Oryzias latipes: one gene and its partner. The protein of the gene in region 2 interacts with the protein of the main gene of each other region in a biochemical or structural test. Links are inferred from orthologs where the notes say so. Each region holds a gene or a part of one and is shown on either strand. Other genes may lie near its edges.

Region 1 (5,482 bases), on a different chromosome or scaffold from region 2:
TCAAAATCCTGGACGGGGACTCTCCTGAAGCACACCTCACAACCACTATAGGAACAGAAGCTGGGAATGTTGATGTGAATTTGTGAAGGCACTCTCCATTTTTTTGTATTATGATTAAAATTGATTTTTTTTCTAGTTTGGATTCTGTTTAATTGCCGAAATACACAAAAAAGCTCAGTGGCCTAGTGGTAGAGTGTCATTCATTACCTTATAGTCATCAAATATATGGAGCTTAAGCAGAAAAACTAATTCATACAACTAACACTTGATCAAAACTTCCAGAACTTTATTGGTTTCATGAATAACACCTTGAAACTGGAAGAGAACTCGCACACAAATTCCCCGACTGCCACACAAACCTTTGCATTTCCTTCCAGGCGGTCACATCATGTGACTTAAAGGTGAAGCGCCATGGATACTGAAGTCAAAGGACGGCGAGTGAAGGCCACCGTTTTCAATTTATCTTATTTCGAATCCATGTGTTAAATTTACCATCTGGATCTCCATGTTTGGCTAAGGCTTTGCTTTTGTTGCCTCTCGATACTAAAAACAGGGATGTTTTCCAATAAACTAGTAAAATACCAGAAAATTCAGTCGTGAAATCGGGGCGGAGCAACTGCGGCCGAGTCGGTCCACATTTCATCAGCTTCTCTCAGACGACGGGGTTAGTCTTCAGTTTTGGCCTCCATCTCTTCAGCATCATCATCTCCGTCCACCTCTGCGTTTTCGCGCTCTAACCTCTCCAGCTGCCGGGCGAGCTCCGTCTCATCTGTGTCTGTGACCACTTTGGGCTGTTGGGACAAAGAAAAGTTTAAAAACTCTAAAGCTGAGAAAATTCAACAGCTCATGGAGAACAAATCGATCACAGCTTCCTTTCATGCTAAGAGTAAATGTTAAAGTGCAACAGACCTTTCAGCAAATATTCAAAACATTGAATCAAAATAGTTTCTATACACAGATTGTTCAGAATCATTCTAAATAGCAAACATTTGCAAAATTAATAACATTTCTAATCCTATTTCTGGGCATTTGTTTAAACATTTAAGTAGCAGGTTGTTTTGTTTTTTGTTTTGAAAAACATTAAAGTTAAACTAAATGACGTCTTATTGTGGTATTTTGCGGTTATAAAAATACAAGTTCATCATTAATTTTTTTAAAATAACAAATTAAGTGACAGTTTGACTAAGTGTACTTAAAATTATTGCAAGCTGCGGTTAAATTCCACATTTTTAGACAAAAATTGATCTTATAGTTGACTGGGAATTGCATACTGACAGCCTCAAATGAAAAGTTTCCTTTCACATTTTGAGTCTAATTACATTTCTTGTTCATGTTTTGTGTTATCTTGTGCACAACAAAAAGTGAACGTTTCAAAATAAAAGTCTCTCACCTCCATCTGGATGTTGAAGACGCCCCTCTTCTCCTCGATCTTTTCCTTGATGGCAGCCATGGCCTGGTTCAGGACAGACAGACCTTCTGTGCGCTCCAAGGTGGTGGTCGTCATCACGTAGCGAGGAGGAGCGATCAGGTTGATCTACGACAACAAGACCACAATAAAAGTTTGGTTGAACAACCTAAACAGTTTTCAGAGAACATTTTAAAAAACAAGTCGCAGTTTGTGGCTCGCCTTGATGGGCATGGCTTCTGTGGAGCAGCCGAGACCGGCTCTCAGAGCTTCCTTCACCGCATCGATGCCCTCATACCCGTAACACGCCACCTCGATGTCTACGACAAAGACGCAGAGTCATTAAGATGTTCTCCTGTTGTCGAACAGGAATGACCAAAAAGAACAAACCTGCTCTGATTTTGACGGCCTGTGGAGTGAGTCGCCTGTTGATGTTATCGATCAGAACGGCTCTCTCCTCTTCTGTTAAGTCTAGGCCATCCAGAATGGCAGGATCTCTGGAGGAAAAAGCTGAAAACTTATACAAAGGTTAAGTATTTATATATTTGTGACTTTTCTGTTTGGACTTACGACACAGCCTGCTTGAAGACGTCATAAGCTCCATAACCGGGCCGCTTGTACTTCTCATCAAACACCCAGGCTGTGCGCTGGTACAAGCTCTCGAGCTGCTCATCCTTGGTATACTCCAGCACTTCTGCCACATGTCGCAGAATGCTGTACACCTGCAAACACAAGACAGTCTACTCAGCATGAAAACAAAGGTTTCATAAAGAAAAAAACAAAAACATACAGTTTTAGATTTGGTAAATTTATCTTCACACTTGATGGCCTCCTCTGGAGAAACTCTTCTTTTTGATAAATCAATATATCCTGGAAAAAAAAGAAGAAAATGAACATAAGAAAGGAATTTGAAAACAGTAAAAAAGGCATTCACTTGCAAAGATTTACCCCTCATTATGAAGACATTCAGCAACACTCACCCTTTTCTTTATCTACTCGGATGACAACAACGCACTCGTTGCGACCTATGCGGATGAGCTTGTTGATGGAGCGGATACGCCGACGGGACAACTCGCTCAGGAGGATCATGCCCTCAATGTTGTTGTACTCCAAAAGGCTGACGTACGCGCCCATCTCTGCGATGGAACGCACGTTCACCATCACAACATCCTCCACCTCTGGAAACCGGTGCTGATAAAATCGACAGCTGAGCCCCGGCATCACTGTCGAAAAACATCAAAAATCAAAACCGTGTTCAAATCTAACACATCTTATGCTAAAAAGAAACATTTTCATTTCATTGTTCAGCATAAATTCATTCTTATTTATTTTCTAGTCAAAGTTTGAAGAATGTTAACAGAATGGTGAGCTCATTTGGGTTTTTGTGATATAAAGCCAGATTGAGATGGATTTAAAATGAGGTACGGTAAACATATAAAAAGGAGTACTGAGGTTATAATAGCTAAGATAGAAGTTTATAGGAAAACTACTAAGAAAAATACTGACTGGATTGCATGAAAGTGGATTTTTAGCTCTGGTAAACACAGCAAAAAGAAAAACCATCTGTTTGGGATGAACATTTAAATGGACCAATCAATATGTATCTACTTTTTAATCAGTCATATCAAGAACTTGTCAATTTAGTTTGAATTGCCTAAAAATTTGAATTTCTACCACCATAAAGTAGAATCTAAGATCCTGTAATTTCCTCTAGGAAGTGAAACGATCTATTCTTCCATAACACATAATGCTATATTGTTAAAATATATCTAGTAATGTTCTAATAAGGCTTTAAATATCCATTATTTTCGTTGTTTCATATTTTAATAAAAATGATGCAATGCGGACAAACAAGCACGAACAGAACCAAAACAAGGCATTTATCAAACGAGTAAAAGGTCACTTTGACTACTTGAAAGTGCCTATCTATGCGCAATCAATCACAAAGAGTTACGATATTTATTTAAACACAAAAGGATTGACTTAATGCGTGCTAGCTGCCTGGCTAACCACCGGGTTCACGTGTGGCGCGTGCAATGTAGCTGCGGCTAACTGCTAGCCAGCTAGCTGTGACTACCGCCTGTTTTAACGCTAAACATCGAACTTCTTTTCTGTCAATAACAACTCACCTGTGTCGTGGGCTTACAGAACTACACACTTGAATGTTATGTGCTCTAAATATTGGTTCCCTCTACTTCTTTCAGCTAATTATTTGAGGCCGTTAGCTCGCATTCATAGGTGGACTAGCTGCTCGACCCGGAAAAGATCTTGAGCGCTTATCGCTTCGCGCATGTGCAGTGCGAGCTTGGGGCAGTCACATGACCAGAGGCCAGCTGATCATCACGGACGAACAAGATCACGGCAGTTACCTTAGTCTTTCAACTAATCCCGAATGAAGACGGTTGTTTGTTTGTCTGTTTAGCACATTTTTATACAACGCCCCGTTTTCAGATCGTATCCTGCAAAAGCCGAGAAGATGTCTGGAAAAGAAAGGATCGACGTTTTCCCGTCCAGGATGTAAGCACCTTGTTTTTCTTGCTAGTTGCTAACTCACTTAGCTTAACTACATTATTTCATTGATTCATTGGGTTTTTAGCTGATTATCGGTTATTTGTTTGTGATTGATTCTTACATAAACGTGTTTCTCACGTATGGTTTCGACTTTTCGTGCTGTCTGGACGCTAAAGAGGAAGGAGCCGCCTTGTGTGTCATGTGATGCTTCCAACATCTTGCGTTGGTCACTCACAGGTTTTTCTGTCTGAAGAAACCTGTTCCAGTGCAAATGTTGCTTTAGCTCATACAAGGGGACTCAAATTCGTGTTAAATTAGATAGTTGTTTTTGAGATTAACAAATACCGAGAATTTGGTTGCATTTCAAATTTAGAGCTTGGCGACTCTTTTCCAGACCAAAAAAAACGTTAAATTTGTGTGTTTGCCCTTCTGTCAGAGTTCTAATAACATACCTACATGACATCAGAGCAGAGGTTTGCAACCTGAGGTCCCTGAGCCACAAGCAGCTCATTTATTCTTCCATTTTGGCTCTTTGGCTTTGAAAAAGCAGGCAGATGTCATAAGGTTTAATGTGTCAGAGCAGTTTTTTTTTTAGAATAAGTGTAAAGCACATATTCTTATCTTCAGATGCACAATATTGTTTTCTTGCTGTTTAGTGACAAAGTTCTTATAATTGCAAGTAAAGGTGATGCAGCAGGAGGAGCGTATTTGACACTCACATGTATTTTATTTTGAAAGGATCGCGTACGTTAAACGTTAGTTATTTACAAAAAAGATCTTAACACTGTTATTATTCAATCCTTATAAATATATAAAAGCTACATTTCATAAATGAATGGCTCAACAATCACACAAAATGTATATATATATATTTTTATCAGTAATGCAAAACTTAAAAAAAAAAACCTTTAAAAAAAAAAAGGTGCGGTGATGCCCTACTTTTTCTGCTAGTCCTGTGTTCAGACTTCAAGGGTTTCTATGGGAAACCTTTTATCACTCTTGTCCTTCTCTCCTCTTTGAGAAGCATGCAGCACGTGCACACTCTATCTACACACAAACACGTGCGCTGTTTCAGAAACACACACACATCCTCATTCTACAATAGAAGTTTCTGTCTTGCCAGGAAATACGACAAATTTACTGCGTTCTAATTATTCCTTTCCATTACAAGCTGCGTGCGTTCTTGAGTGCGTGACACGGCGCCCGCCGGAAGATTTTGTTTGTGTGTATGTTTGTGTGTGTGTGTGTGTGGGGGGGGGGGGGGGGGGTGTAACACCAAACATGAACGGGCGCTGTTAGATTTCCATGAATATCACTACATTTTTGTTTGGGAACTATTTTGTGCAGCACATAAATAAGTGTCTGTATAAACAAAGGCGTTTTCTGCAGCCTTGGTCTGTTTGTCTTTCTTTCCTTGTTCAATAGTTCAAATGTTGCAGGTTATTTTAACCCAACAGATTCAGACACAAGTGTTGGTTTTTGGACCCATTAATGGAAAAAAAAAAAAAAGCAAAAACAAGTCAATAAATTCAAGTCTTAGAGCCAGATCAAAAAAGCGGTAAAGTC
Region 2 (5,694 bases):
GTTGTTTCTGAGTAACACCAAAACCTCATAATACAAATGATTCTCCTCTGACAAAATCAATGGCATGATCCATTGATCATACCATGAATTGAATTGAATCCATAACTGCATATACATCAGGAAGTGCAACACTAAAGTCTTTTACCTTTAAAAGTGGACTTAAAGCCATAGACTTTAAAAGTTTGGATGGTATGATTAGAATTAATCGGGTTAGGCTTTTTATGCAAAATGGAAGAAAACCTTGGTTTTATATTCCTTCAAACATTTTCTCTCATCTAGGGGGCATTGAGTTCCTTCTAAAATGTGACTTTGATTACAGAAAACTTCCTATTAAACTTTCTACTTATAATCAGCAGGTGTTACTGTACTGGAAACTCATATTCAAACATAACTTTAGTCCACACAACAATCCCATATGGAACTTTCAGAATATTTTGTGTAGGAACAAATCAATATTTTACAAAAATTGGATTGATAACGGTATTTGGTCATTATTACACATTATGAATCATAATGGAAACATGATCTCATTTGAAACTTTTTCCAGTAAGTTTAAATTGTATGATAGAAAACTATACAACAATGTGATGAAAGCAATCCCTCAGAATTTGATCCAAATGTCCTCTAGTCTGGTTCAAAATGTTCAAGTTCAGCTTCCATCTCTGTTGTTTGATGGTCGACCGCTTAACTAAAAACTTCCAAACTCATTTATACCATCTTTGTTTGTTAGAGATCTGTTTCCAACATCTCACAAAAATCATTCTATGTCACAGCATTACACAAAAGAAGAAATATGCAAGTTAAGATCTCAGTTTATTAAATATCCAATTTTTCTAAAATACAAAGAAATCCATTTTAAAATTATGAATGCAGTCTATCCATGCAAGGAACTACTAAATATACGTTTTGGTTTTCCAGAAAATAACTGTTCTTTCTGTGACATAAATATAGAAACAATCGATCATCTGTTTATTGAATTGTTTGCATCTGTTTATTGTTTATTGAATGTTAACAGGTTTAGGGAGGATTTTTTTATTTGTTGGTACTCCTCAAAGTTTCCTTTTCCTATTTCTACTCAGTTACAAAACATACTTCATTACTTGGAGTAGTTTCTGCAGATCATTGATTTGATTTGGCATTTAATACTTAATTTCTGAGAAAGTCTTCATTCATAAGAGAAGATTTTTGAAAAACCGAACTATTATTTAATACGTTTCATAAAGAGATCTGTTTATATATTAAATTGCTGAAATTCATGAAAAACAAAAATGCAACAAAACTGTCCATTTTCATTGAAGACCATATGATGTATGACAATCCCTAGTATTGTGAACTACAATTCTAATGTTATTTATTTCCATTTTAATTATTTTCCTTTTTATTTATTTCTGTTGTACGGTTAGGATTAGGGTTCTAATAAAGAATTAAAAAAATGTAAAAAGAAAACAACAAAAAACAACTAGAATCTTTTGGATCACTTGACATCAAAGGGGGCCCAGTTCTTGCCTTTATTTATTTTTTAATCTTTTGTCATTTTTTCTGTGAAACTGATTTTCAAACTCAGTAATTCAACCCCGTAACATGTAAATAAAATGGACAACTTCTACTTGCAAAGTAGTTTTAGTCTTTTAAATAAGTATGTTAAATCTGAACTTCATGACCTCTTCATAATGTTCAGTACATGAAGCAGCAGCCATTTTGTGCAAAAATCTCAACCCAGTCACACTCCACTCTGTTGTGTTTTAGTGCAACGGGGTTGAGAGACTGTGGCAAGGTTGAGATTTAAGAACTTTGATTGTTTGATAACGCAAGTATTTTAAAAAATGATCATTTATTACAATGGAAATTGCCATTCTGCTTCAGGCTGAACACAATTTCTGTTTCGTGTGAGTGGCAGAGAAGGAATCCAAGGGAAAATATCCACCCTTCACACTCACAGCTTTGAAACACGTCATACTTCAATTTGAGTCTGATTTTCTTATGGTTAATTAGTTATCATTATATACATAAAGATAAAGGAAAGTCCTAACACTGAATTTCATGATTAAGAAACTATACATAGGTCCATATTTGTCCCTTCAACCCTGTCACGATCTTCAACTGTTTCAACCCCGTAACACAAATATTATCAGAAAATAATTATTAAAAATAAAATAAATAAAAAAACATTTATGGTTTGTTTACATTTTTCCTAAAATATTGAGAATATCATATGATTTGGTTTTTAACAATATTCTTCAATTGCGATATACATAGAAAAAAATAAAATTTCAGTAAAAAAAATGACAAAATTTGACTACAAACTAATTCATTTTGACTAATGGAACAGCATTTTTATTTCCCTTAAAAAGTTGCAACAGTTTGTTTTGTATTGCATCAAATATTGTTGCTAATTCTTTCTAGTTGGGTGACGTGAGTCATGCGCCGTCGCAAAGAAAAGACGTCAAAATTCCTCCTCTTTGCGATTGCGCACTGTGGTCCGTCGCTGATGCAAGAAATTTTACGCGGAGATCTGAGGCTGGTCGAAGGATAAGAAGTTCTGTGATTTGTATCGTTTTTTCATTGTGCAAACATGTCGGGAGACGAGGTGAGTCTTCTTTGATTATCAACCATTATTCGCTGTCAGTGCCGTGACTTTTGGGATGCAGTTAGCGGAACTTTAGGAGCCGATTGGTGTTGAGGTGGGGCCTGGCTCCACACGATTCCCCTTGGCAGCGGCAACTCTCACATGGTGGCAGCTGGGCTAACAGCGGCCCAGACAGACGAATTAAACAAGAAAATGTCCAGCTCACCGCTTTTTGTTAAATATTTACTAGTAGATCCACCCTTATGGAACCTTCAACGTCGAAAAGACCAGTTAATTGATACAAAAAAGAAGTTAATGTTAGCTAGTAGTTAGCGAAGCGCGCGACGCTAACCGACAGTCACTTCTGTGTTAGCAAGCCCAAGCTACTCCGACTGTTCTGTGAAGAACAGACGATGACACAACTACCTTTTGTGTTTAAATACATTATGTAACTAATTTAGATAACAGAGTTGCTACAACTCTTCTGCCATTATGGAAATCTGAGAGCACAAATAACAGGAAATCCGATGTCACGTATTTATAACTATTCTGTGTCCTGCAGCCTGCCTGAACTGCTTAACTTGCTATGTGATATGCTGGTAAAATAATCATGTTTTAACCCAGATCAAACATGTCCGATTTTTAAACGGGTTTCATTAACTACAATTACTCTCCATGTCAAACTTCAAATTTTTGTAGGTATGATGTCGGCCTCATGACTGATTTCTTTTTTTTACCCCCCCCCCCCCTCATTTCATTTGTAGATGATTTTTGATCCTAACATGACCAAGAAGAAAAAGAAGAAGAAGAAGCCTTTCATGGTGGATGAGGAAGGAGGAGAGGGCGCAGGAGGAGAAGAGGCGAAAGAGGGAGAAGCAAAGGAGGTCGAGCCAGAGGTTGAAGAGAAAGAAGTGGATCTAGAAGAAGATGAAAGCAGGAAGAAAGGTTGGCAAAATGAATGTTTTCAAGCTGAACTAGACTTTACAGCTGCACTATTATGAATTGTTCTTGAGATTTTCACTGCACGCTACTTACTTGACATCAGTTAAATTTCTTTTAGAACCATCGGATGATTTGAATGACCTGAACTTTGCCAACCAGAAGAAAAAGAAGAAGAAACCTAAAAAAGTGTTCGATGATTTAGAAGAAGAATTAAAGGTGAGTTTTCTTTTTCTCCAACCAGTACCATATTCTGCAGCATCTTTACATGTTTCTCTAATTCAACTCTCTGTTCAATTCTAAAAATCCAGGAATTAAAAATTGAAGGCGAACAAACAAAGGCGCAAGAGGAGGACCTGGATTTGGTTCTTCCAACAAAAAAGAAGAAGCCAAAGAAAAGTGACTTTGATGAAGGAGGGAAAGAGTTGTTGGAAAACGATGAAGGTAGACATCAATTCCTGTTTGGCACATGAACATAAAGAAGCTGTTTGTGATTTTGATATTGTCTGCAGCACTGGAAGATGATGAGAGCAAGATCAGTGATGGGATTTCTTTCAGCTCCTCTACAGGACCTGCCTGGGCAGGCTCAGAAAGGGATTACACCTACGATGAGGTAAAAATCACCCAGAGTGTACAGATGTGTTCTGCAAATCTTGCTATTCGTATCCTCAAATGCATAATCTAACAACATCAAACCCCTCAAAATACAATTTTTTTTGGTAACAATGTTAGGATCTTGCCCTGTTTTTAATTCAACCCTATAACTCATGTCTCTTTCAGCTCCTAAATAGAGTCTTCAACATCATGAGAGAAAAGAACCCGGACATGGTGGCCGGAGAGAAGAGGAAGTTTGTGATGAAGCCTCCTCAAGTGGTCCGAGTGGGAACCAAAAAAACCTCTTTTGTCAACTTCACAGACATCTGCAAACTGTTAGCATCCGACTTTCCTTTTTTTATTTTATTTTTTCGCTCTCCTTTTATTTTTTTTATTTTTTCCCACGTAACTCTAAAACTGGCGTGTCATTCGTTTTGAACACAGGTTGCATCGTCAGCCTAAACATCTCCTCGCTTTTCTGCTGGCTGAGCTGGGAACGAGGTATCTGGAAAGCATAAACTGAGTGTAATTTTTTTTTTTTTTGGTACAAACAGTTTATGTCTGTTTTTCTAAAAACAAATGTTTTTGTCTGTAAACAGCGGCTCCATAGATGGAAATAATCAGCTGGTGATCAAAGGCAGATTTCAACAGAAACAGATTGAAAATGTGTTAAGAAGATACATCAGTAAGTCTAAAGTTTGTGGTTTATTACAGCTGAGTTAACCCTTTAAAACTCCGGTGTTGGCCTTCTTTCTGACAATCCCCATATTGGGATTAATAAAACCTTCTATTCTAAAGTATTCTATTCTAACTACTGTAACTCTTCGTCCGTTTATGCAATTACCATAAGGTAATTCAAGCTAATTCTAAAGCCTTCCGCAGATCTACAACACTTTACAGCAGTGACGTGCTTTCCCAGCCGATATAAATCAGGTGATTCTGTCTTGGAAAAAAGTGGCTTTGCACAGTTATTTAGCACTTAGCATTAGTAATGTGTTGCATATCAGTGCGTAGCCACTATGAAAAGCCGCTTTCTCTGCGTCAGAATCAGCTGATTCGCGGTGATTGTGTGAAGTGAATGGTCAGTGAGTTACGGTATGTCAGAGAGCACATGTTCTTTAGGTGGCACCGGTGACATTTCCAGTATTAAAGGGTTACCAGCATGAGAAATTTCAGTAACTAATAATGAATTAAAGGTATTTGGAGTTCGGAGATAAGCATTTTAAAAATTTTCACAAAGGAATTTACTAAACATAGGTCTTGTTGTGAGTTTCTAACATTACCTAGACCAATCACATTCTGTGTGCATTAAATAACTGAAACTTTTCTAATTTTTGCAGAGGAATATGTGACATGTCACACCTGCCGCTCTCCAGAAACCATCTTGCAGAAGGACACTCGTCTTTATTTCCTGCAGTGCGAGACCTGCCACTCCCGCTGCTCCGTGGCTAGCATCAAGGCCGGCTTCCAGGCTGTGACTAGCAAGAGGGCACAGCTCCGCGCCAAAGCCAACTGAAGGCCGTCTCTACTGGGCTCCCCGTCTTCTCTTGGCTTGTTTCTTTCTTTGAAGAATTTCCGAAGCTGGGGTCGGCTGC

Evidence for each region. The genes of interacting proteins can lie anywhere in the genome.
Region 1: the proteins of eif2s2 (region 2) and eif2s1 form a complex in vitro, tested with the Homo sapiens proteins (2 studies listed by BioGRID and IntAct). The link is inferred for Oryzias latipes from reciprocal best matches to the Homo sapiens genes EIF2S2 and EIF2S1.

Annotation. Positions count from the first base shown.
Region 1 is NC_019882.2:5,866,911-5,872,392, reverse strand, and holds eif2s1 (eukaryotic translation initiation factor 2 subunit 1), read right to left. Parts: upstream 3,713-5,482; 5' UTR 3,535-3,712; intron 2,629-3,534; 5' UTR 2,627-2,628; coding exon 2,386-2,626; intron 2,276-2,385; coding exon 2,196-2,275; intron 2,128-2,195; coding exon 1,976-2,127; intron 1,903-1,975; coding exon 1,796-1,902; intron 1,726-1,795; coding exon 1,628-1,725; intron 1,535-1,627; coding exon 1,391-1,534; intron 792-1,390; coding exon 666-791; 3' UTR 266-665; downstream 1-265. Other genes in the region: atp6v1d (V-type proton ATPase subunit D), read left to right, coding at 3,882-3,922. UniProt on the Homo sapiens protein: Member of the eIF2 complex that functions in the early steps of protein synthesis by forming a ternary complex with GTP and initiator tRNA. This complex binds to a 40S ribosomal subunit, followed by mRNA binding to form a 43S pre-initiation complex (43S PIC).
Region 2 is NC_019865.2:7,389,581-7,395,274, reverse strand, and holds the start of eif2s2 (eukaryotic translation initiation factor 2 subunit 2), read left to right. Parts: upstream 1-2,456; 5' UTR 2,457-2,572; coding exon 2,573-2,587; intron 2,588-3,330; coding exon 3,331-3,511; intron 3,512-3,611; coding exon 3,612-3,724; intron 3,725-3,816; coding exon 3,817-3,949; intron 3,950-4,017; coding exon 4,018-4,118; intron 4,119-4,285; coding exon 4,286-4,434; intron 4,435-4,543; coding exon 4,544-4,600; intron 4,601-4,698; coding exon 4,699-4,784; intron 4,785-5,439; coding exon 5,440-5,615; 3' UTR 5,616-5,694.